Oryza sativa Japonica Group: one gene and its partner. The main gene of each other region encodes a partner of the protein of the gene in region 2 in a complex. Links are inferred from orthologs where the notes say so. Each region holds a gene or a part of one and is shown on either strand. Other genes may lie near its edges. The genes, in order: plastid division protein PDV2; protein ACCUMULATION AND REPLICATION OF CHLOROPLASTS 6, chloroplastic.

Region 1 (4,162 bases), on a different chromosome or scaffold from region 2:
CGTCGACGCCGTGCAGAGGTGCCTGCCGGAGAGCCTGAGGGCGGCGGTGCAGCGGTGCCGCCAGAGCAGGCCGGCGAGCAAGGTCGTCGAGTGGGCCCCCTACCGCCACAGCTTCCGCTACCTGCTCGCCAGGGACCTCGCCTTCCCCCACCTCACCTAGCTCACCGATCTTGGCGTCCGCCATGAATGGCTTGGCTTGAGCTGTGTCAAGCTGAGTCTGAGTGAGTGAGATTAGAAGAAGATGATTAGTTCATGTGTTGATAGATTTGGTTCTAGGATGTTACACCTAATTATCTAGGATTGTGTTTGTGTGTGTGGGGGGGGGGGGGGAGAGAGATTAATTGAGCTGTGCAGAGTGTGATCTGTGCGCTTGTAAAGATAAAATTCTTTTTTATTTTTGTAGATACAGAGAGGAAAAAAAATAGAGGAAAGTTGAGACCAAGTGTCAGTTCAGTTCAGTTCAGTTCAAATCTTTAATCTGAAACTGAAAGAGAAACATAAGTATCGTTTAGTTCAGTTCCAGTTCCAGACACAGTTCAGAAATTCAGATTTGAATATGCAAATCAAAGTCGCCCCCTTTCGTTTCAAATTCCTTCTACGATCTGTGCGGGTTTCGTGGTCACCGCCACATCCAATAACATGACATGCAGATCCTCTGCAGAATTGCTGAAACAGTAAGCAATGGATAATATGAGGGTCCGGATCCACACAATAGGTTGAGTTCTTTGGGTTGTGTTTCAAGTGGCCAACTCACCTTCGTTTTTCTCGTGCACGTTTTCCAAACTAGCATATACTTAATTAATCATGCACCAAACAAAGAATCATATTAATACATTTTTTTAAAAAAAATAGCATATACTTAATTAATCAATCATGTACTAATAAGTCACTCTATTTTATGTGTGAGAGTAATTAGCTTCCAACGATAAGCAAAGAACACAGCCTTTAGTGTCTACTACTACATCAGCAGTACTGCAGACAATTGAACACAAAATATGTCGTGCGCGCTCCTGCTGATGGTGGCGACGGTGGATAGGACCTTTTCGTGACTAAAATGAAAAATACAGGGACTGAAGCTTAGGGTGATCTAAAACTCTAAACTTTCCATCACATCACATCACATAAAAACTTTTCTACTCACATAAACTTTCAACTTTTTTTCCAAACTACCAACTTTCCCCAAACTTCGGAACTAAACACAGCCTTAAAAATCCAAGAGAGGGATGATAATGAAAATGTTCTGTTCCGATGGACCAGATCGCAAAGCAGCCCATCACGAGAGTATCAGATCGAACGGCCAGCATCGACTCGGGGCCCACCTGCAGGCGGATGTGTCATGCAAAGCTTCGGATTCGGATACGCCCTCGGCCTCCTCACCACCACAGCCACGAGGAGGAGAAGACGACGCGCCGCCGCCACAGCTCGCGTCGCGTCTGCGCTCTCCTAGCGCCGTGCGGGGGTTTAGCTAGGGTTTTCCGCTTGCGGCGGCGGCGGCCATGGAAGGGGAGGAGATTGGCCTCGTCCTCGCCCGCGCCTCCGACCTCCGCTCCAGGATCTCCGCCTGCGTCGCCGCGGCCGGAGCCAGGGAGCCGCCGGAGGGCGAGGGCGAGGGCGGGGAGGCGGTGAAGCGGCTGTGCGATGGGGAGGAGGGGGAGGAGGAGGAGGAGGTGGAGAGCCTGGTCGGTATCAGCAACGCGCTCGAGTCGCTCGAGCGGCAGCTCGCCTCTCTGCAGGTCATTCTCATCTCATATCTATTCTTGGTGTTTCGTTCCATGTGTAAATATGCTAATCCTCATTTTCTAGTAGAGATTGAGGCTTGCATTGAAGATTGTGGGTTAGTAATTTTGTACTGCATTATTACTTTTCATTATATAATATACTCCGAATGATGCAAATCTATAATAATCGCATAGTAGAAGGTTTATGAGAGGGGAAAAGATAGATAGGTATCAATGCCATACTTGCAAATAAGGGCATTTTGAAGTTTGAAATGATTAAAAACAAATGATATTATCATAGGAACAGGGTATGACTGGAGTGACTGTGCAAGGTGTGCAGAGCGAACGAAGTTGCTGTCCATTAGTTAAGCTCATATACCAAACCTGCCATTTCTTAGCTAGGAATTTCTCTGCTTTCGGGGGAGAAGGGTGCTTCTGGTAAGAGGTGTGATGAGTTGTTGGGATGCAGATTTTCACTTTTAGTTATAACCAAATGGCCAAATTTAACTGTAAAACTTGTGAATCCTGTTTACTTGCTTTGCTGCACTAGGTTGGTATTTAACTATTTAAGATGCATCCCTTACTATTGCTTGTGTTAGTGAATTTCCTAAGAACTAGGATTGGCTTCCATTGCATTATCCCCATGAGTTTGTTTAGTTCTGTTATTTATTTCCATCTGAGTTTAAGTTTAAATAAGTCTTCTTCTATCACATTGAATTGTTAGGACTTGAATGTGTTCTATTACAATCTAGATTGCCATTTTTCATTGCTAAATATTTTGCTTTCTACTTCCTCTGTTTCACAATGTAAGTCATTCTAGCATTTCCCATATTCATATTGATGTTAATGAATCTAGATAGATATATATGTCTAGATTCATTAACATCAATATGAATGTGGGAAATGCTAGAATGACTTATATTGTGAAACGGAGGGAGTACATACTAAATGCCTGAACAACTTGCTGCCACTCCCAGGACCTCCAACACCAACAAAGATATGAACGAGAGACCATTTTGAGCCAGATTGATCGCAGCCGAGGATGTCTTCTTAACAAGCTCAAAGAATACAAGGGGCAGGACTGTGAAGTAATACATGAGGCTGCTTCTTTTGCTGGTGAAAAAATTGAACATGATGATGGTCTCATGCTACCTCCGTACTCAAATCATGTCACCAATTCGTTTGTTCTTGATGATCTGTATCCTCCAAGTTACTTGGCCAAGTTAAAGTGTATGCACAACGGATTGGGTTCTGGTGGGACTAACCAAGATGTTACAAAGACAAACAGGCTGGAGAACAGGAATGGTAGCATGCCAAACGGCAATTCACAAGGAGGAATTAGATCTTTTGTTGGATGGCTTGCTAAAACTGCAGTAATGGTTGTAGGTGCTGTATCTATCATGAAGGCTGCTGGTTACGAGCCAGTGATAGGAAGACACAGCATAAAATTGGATATGGCAGGTTTGTTCAGTAAGGAGGCAACCAGTGGAAAAGATCAGGCTACTGTCCAATGCCCTCCTGGTAAAGTAATGGTTCTCGAAGATGGCAGGGCTCACTGTGTTGTGAAGGAAAGAGTCGAGATACCTTTCGACACCAACCTCGCCTCTCCAAATGCAAGTTATGGGTTAGGCTGAAATTGGGCTTTTGTCAATATTAGGATTTAGCTAGTCTTTGAGGCCCTTTATATGATCTTCTGTAGAATGTGCCGAGCACACTTGTCTAAAGATTGAAGCCTATGTATTATATCTATCTATGATCGTCCATGTCTTGCTAATTGCCCTCGTTGGTGAACTCCATCAGTATGCTGCTCAGTTGATACCAGTATTATGTCATCAGCAGTTTGGTTTCATGTGTTGTGTATGTTGTCTCTTGTATTGGTGATGCGGTGGAGGGATAGATGGCGATTTTACTCTCTCCGTCTCAAAAATTGAGGAATTTTGGTTAGAGGGTGGCATATTCTATGAGCATGTTCAGATTCTAGGATGTGTGTCATTCAACCAAATCTTTTATATTTTAGGATAGGACGAAGGGAGTATGTTAGTACCTGTCATTGTATGTCTATGTCAGGTCCTGAAGGCACGGCATATTGAGGCTCGAAAAGGGCCAACCTGTGCCTTCGAAGCTGTGCAACAAGAATCTGAATCCAGCACAAAATTTCTCACCAGGAGGAAACAAGGTAGTAGTACATGTTTCTGACGATCCTTTCGAGGAATCTCATCTCTTCGCTGTCATGTGTCGTAGTAGAATCGCTGTGTGAAGCACAGGAAATTAAGCTGTTTGCTGCCAACGGAATGAAGCTGCGTATTACAGTACTTACATACAAACTCTGGTGCGCATATGCTAGCTGCAGAACAGCAATGGCAGTTCTTTTTTTCTGAACTTGGTTAATTTTTATTTCCAAATAACTTATTCCATTTCCAAGTGAAGGAACTAAGCTAGATGGA
Region 2 (4,274 bases):
TCTGTAACTTGAGCTTGAGAAAATGGACATGGATAATCAACTCTTAAGGGTCCCTTTTTCTCTCTTATGGATTATGAATTACCACGAACACACTTCGTAAGTTTTTATACAGTGTAATTGTTGCAAAAGTTTTCTATATATGAGTTTCACTCTCCTATAATATTTTCTAAAACAATATTTTTGTTTTTTAATAGTTAATCCGTTCGTTTGTCGTCAAGTATTATTACTGTGAAGTAATATAACTCATCATCAATTTATCCATTGACCTGAAAAGAACTAGCCCCCAAAAATCTAAATTTAAGCCAAAAAAAACATTTGAAACATGAGAGTTTGATGGTTTGCCACTTTTTAGATGGAGGATTTGATGATATCCCATCATAGCCCAACATCGTCAACTTTGTGGGGTGGGGGAGGGGGTATATCCTTGTCACTTGGTAGCATTGTAATCTAAAAAGTGTCAATCAACATGCTTAAACTGATCAGCCAAAGTTGCCTTTAAATGACTTGATGAAGGATCTCTTGCTTATATTTGGTTGAAACTTGAAAGCCTTTAGTCTAATTAGCAAGATGATGGGCTTTGGGTAAAAAGCTTCAACCCAAACAACCATTCGATAAGAACCTTGCTTTTAAACAAACCAAAACTGATTACAACTTTAAACAAGCCTTTCCACTTTCACACCCGACTCCAAACCAGTAAAAAACTTGGCTCTTAAACAAAGTCTAGCCTTTCCTCATATGCCTGTTAGCTTATTAAATATAACCAAAATTTAAAATCCGAGACTTAAATCTGTAGTCTATTTTTGAACATGAGGTTATAATGTGTTGTTTGTTTGCATCTGATTGATTGAAAAAAAATCCCTTGTTCTTTACGCGCACGCTTTCTGAAGTTTTAAACAATATATTTTTTTATTATTTTTTAAGTAGGAACGTTGTTTTTAAAATCATATTAATCTATTTTTTACTATAAAATAATTAATACTCAATTAATCATGCACTAATGACTCACTTCGCTTTGCATATCTCCTTAACCTTCTTCTTTCCTCTCCTTTCAAACACACCCTAAAATATTAGACTTAGCAAGATTAGTTTTGAAATTGGTGTCTCAATACTGGACCTAGCAAAATCTCCCAAAGTGCCCAAGTCTCCAATCATGCACCCAGATCATCCAGCAACAAGAAAACAACAGCAAAAAAAAAAACAAGGGCCAAAGCCAGCAAGGCTCCCCCTCTTCTCCCCCTCACTCCTAAAACCTCTCTCTCCTCCGCCCCCTCCATCTCCGCCGCCGCCGCCGCGGCGGCTAATGGAGGGCTTCCACAACCTCCTCGCCCGCCCCAACTCGGCGCCATTCGCCTTCTCCCTCCCTCGCCCGCGCCCGCGCCCGCGCCGCAGGCCGCCGCCTCACCCCTCCGCTGCCTGCCGCGCCGCGAGCCGCTGGGCCGAACGCCTCTTCGCCGACTTCCACCTCCTCCCCACCGCCGCGCCCTCCGACCCGCCGTCCCCGGCCCCGGCCCCGGCCGCCGCGCCCTCCGCCTCCCCCTTCGTCCCGCTCTTCCCCGACGCCGCCGAACGCTCCCTCCCGCTCCAAGTCGATTTCTACAAGGTGAGGCCCCGTGAATCTGCTGCGGTTTGTTCATCATTTGGACCTCGGAATATCATCCCGTAGATAAAAAAAAGCGCATGATTCTTGCCTTCTTGGTAGGTGATGATACATTGTCACTGCTAAATCGTTGAAACGTTATTCCACCTGCAAGTCTTTTGCTAGGTTACTGATCCCTCAGTTCCATGAAATCGAGTTATTTGCTATTTCCGTAGTGTCACTTCACTAGGTTATTAACTGACTACAATGCCGAATCCATCGCATTTGTGATCCACTGCATACTATGATACGAATTATGCCTATATCATGTGTGTGTGGGGCTAGTGAGAGATCATGCCTTTTTGACTATTTCCGAAATGTTTTGTTGAATCTGGCTTTGCTCAGGTTCTAGGGGCAGAGCCACATTTCCTTGGCGATGGCATCAGGAGGGCGTTCGAGGCACGGATAGCCAAGCCACCGCAGTATGGCTACAGCACGGATGCTCTTGTTGGTCGTCGACAAATGCTGCAGATTGCCCATGACACTCTCATGAACCAGAACTCCCGCACTCAGTATGATCGTGCGCTTTCTGAGAACCGTGAAGAAGCTCTCACCATGGATATTGCTTGGGACAAGGTGAGGCTTTAGGGGGCAGCAAAGGGTGTGTTTGGATCTTGTCAAATAGCACTAGTGTATAATCTCTCTCTGCTTATAATATATTGGGTGTCTTGTGAAGCAGGTTCCAGGTGTGTTGTGTGCGCTTCAGGAGGCTGGGGAGGCACTTGCTGTGCTTGTAACTGGAGAACAGTTGCTTCTGGATCGGCCACCCAAGCGCTTCAAGCAGGACGTGGTGCTAGCGATGGCTCTGGCTTATGTGGATCTATCAAGGGATGCTATGGCAGCAAGCCCTCCAGATGTAATTGGCTGCTGCGAGGTGCTCGAGAGGGCTCTCAAGCTCTTGCAGGTGAACTGTTTGCTTTTTTACTCCCTACTTTTTCATTGGGCTTATATTTGAATAGGATAAGATTAAATAACCCTGTGAAGATTGGTTTGGGACACATGGGCTATATTTTTTTAATAAGAATGGTGATTTCCTTGAAGCAATATTAATAGGAACTTCATACTGTAGGAAGATGGAGCAAGCAATCTCGCACCTGATCTGCTTTCACAGATTGATGAAACTCTCGAGGAGATTACACCTCGCTGTGTATTGGAGCTTCTCTCCCTTCCTATTGACACAGAGCATCATAAGAAGCGCCAAGAAGGGCTTCAAGGTGCGAGAAACATTTTGTGGAGCGTTGGCAGAGGAGGTATTGCTACCGTTGGAGGAGGATTTTCTCGTGAAGCCTTCATGAACGAGGCTTTTTTGAGGATGACATCAATTGAACAGGTTCGTACATGTTTGTTTTTATGAAGCAGCTGCCTATTTATATTGCAGGAGCACATCTTTGAAAACATGTTAACTCCCTTTCTGTTACACCTCCCAGATGGATTTCTTTTCAAAAACACCGAATAGCATTCCTCCTGAATGGTTTGAAATTTACAATGTAGCACTTGCACATGTCGCTCAAGCAATTATAAGTAAAAGGCCACAATTCATCATGATGGCGGATGATCTTTTTGAACAACTCCAGAAGTTCAACATAGGTTCTCATTATGCTTATGATAATGAGATGGACCTTGCATTGGAAAGGGCATTCTGCTCATTGCTAGTCGGAGATGTTAGCAAGTGCAGAATGTGGCTTGGAATTGATAATGAGTCTTCACCATACAGAGACCCCAAAATTCTAGAGTTTATTGTGACCAACTCTAGCATCAGTGAAGAGAATGATCTTCTTCCAGGGCTGTGCAAGCTTTTGGAGACTTGGCTTATCTTTGAGGTTTTTCCTAGGAGCAGAGATACTCGGGGCATGCAGTTCAGACTTGGAGATTACTACGATGATCCAGAAGTTTTAAGCTACCTAGAAAGGATGGAGGGTGGTGGTGCTTCTCATTTGGCTGCTGCTGCTGCTATTGCAAAACTTGGTGCTCAAGCTACAGCTGCACTTGGTACTGTGAAATCAAATGCTATTCAAGCGTTCAACAAGGTTTTTCCATTGATAGAACAGTTAGACAGGTCAGCCATGGAAAATACTAAAGATGGCCCTGGGGGATATCTTGAAAATTTTGACCAGGAAAATGCACCTGCTCATGATTCGAGAAATGCCGCCTTGAAGATTATCTCTGCTGGCGCACTGTTTGCACTGTTGGCAGTAATTGGGGCCAAATATTTGCCTCGTAAGAGGCCCCTTTCTGCTATTAGGAGTGAGCATGGATCTGTGGCAGTTGCTAATAGTGTCGACTCTACTGATGGTGAGTAAATGCTTTTCATTTGCTAAAGTAGTCAAACAACACTGGAATTTACTGCTCACGTGTTTACTGGGTATCCTTGTTGGCTGATTACAGTATGTTCTTGATCTTATAGCTTTGCATTAATGTTTTAACAAAGCTATACATCAAATATTTTTGTCTCATACATACACAATGCTACTATAATTCTGTAATGTATATCATAGAGAGTTAACTTTTGCATGATGAATGTTGAAGATCCTGCACTAGATGAAGATCCAGTACATATTCCTAGAATGGATGCGAAGCTGGCAGAAGATATTGTTCGCAAGTGGCAGAGTATCAAATCTAAGGCCTTGGGACCAGAACA

Evidence for each region.
Region 1: the proteins of protein ACCUMULATION AND REPLICATION OF CHLOROPLASTS 6, chloroplastic (region 2) and plastid division protein PDV2 are in contact, whole or in part, in a crystal structure (PDB 5GTB), measured with the Arabidopsis thaliana proteins. The link is inferred for Oryza sativa Japonica Group from reciprocal best matches to the Arabidopsis thaliana genes ARC6 and PDV2. Residues at the interface, in NP_199063.1 of Arabidopsis thaliana: Trp686, Gln687, Lys690, Phe694, Arg710, Met711, Ile714, Trp715, Arg718, Glu721, Thr722, Leu725, Leu727, Tyr729, Tyr731, Glu753, Leu756, Glu758, Ala760, Leu762, Asp764, Val766, His767, Asn770, Ala772, Thr773, Asp774, Arg776, Tyr778, Thr780; in NP_028242.1 of Arabidopsis thaliana: Glu287, Arg288, Val289, Glu290, Ile291, Pro292, Phe293, Asp294, Ala298, Lys299, Arg300, Asp301, Val302, Thr303, Tyr304, Gly305, Tyr306, Gly307.

What each region holds. Positions count from the first base shown.
Region 1 is NC_089041.1:1,209,068-1,213,229, reverse strand, and holds plastid division protein PDV2, read left to right. Parts: upstream 1-1,383; 5' UTR 1,384-1,496; coding exon 1,497-1,733; intron 1,734-2,695; coding exon 2,696-3,352; 3' UTR 3,353-3,567; downstream 3,568-4,162. Other genes in the region: uncharacterized protein, read left to right, coding at 1-160. UniProt on the Arabidopsis thaliana protein: Component of the plastid division machinery consisting in a binary fission accomplished by the simultaneous constriction of the FtsZ ring on the stromal side of the inner envelope membrane, and the ARC5/DRP5B ring on the cytosolic side of the outer envelope membrane.
Region 2 is NC_089036.1:1,186,574-1,190,847, reverse strand, and holds the start of protein ACCUMULATION AND REPLICATION OF CHLOROPLASTS 6, chloroplastic, read left to right. Parts: upstream 1-1,245; 5' UTR 1,246-1,300; coding exon 1,301-1,600; intron 1,601-1,981; coding exon 1,982-2,212; intron 2,213-2,315; coding exon 2,316-2,540; intron 2,541-2,705; coding exon 2,706-2,966; intron 2,967-3,063; coding exon 3,064-3,928; intron 3,929-4,162; coding exon 4,163-4,274. UniProt on the Arabidopsis thaliana protein: Component of the plastid division machinery consisting in a binary fission accomplished by the simultaneous constriction of the FtsZ ring on the stromal side of the inner envelope membrane, and the ARC5 ring on the cytosolic side of the outer envelope membrane.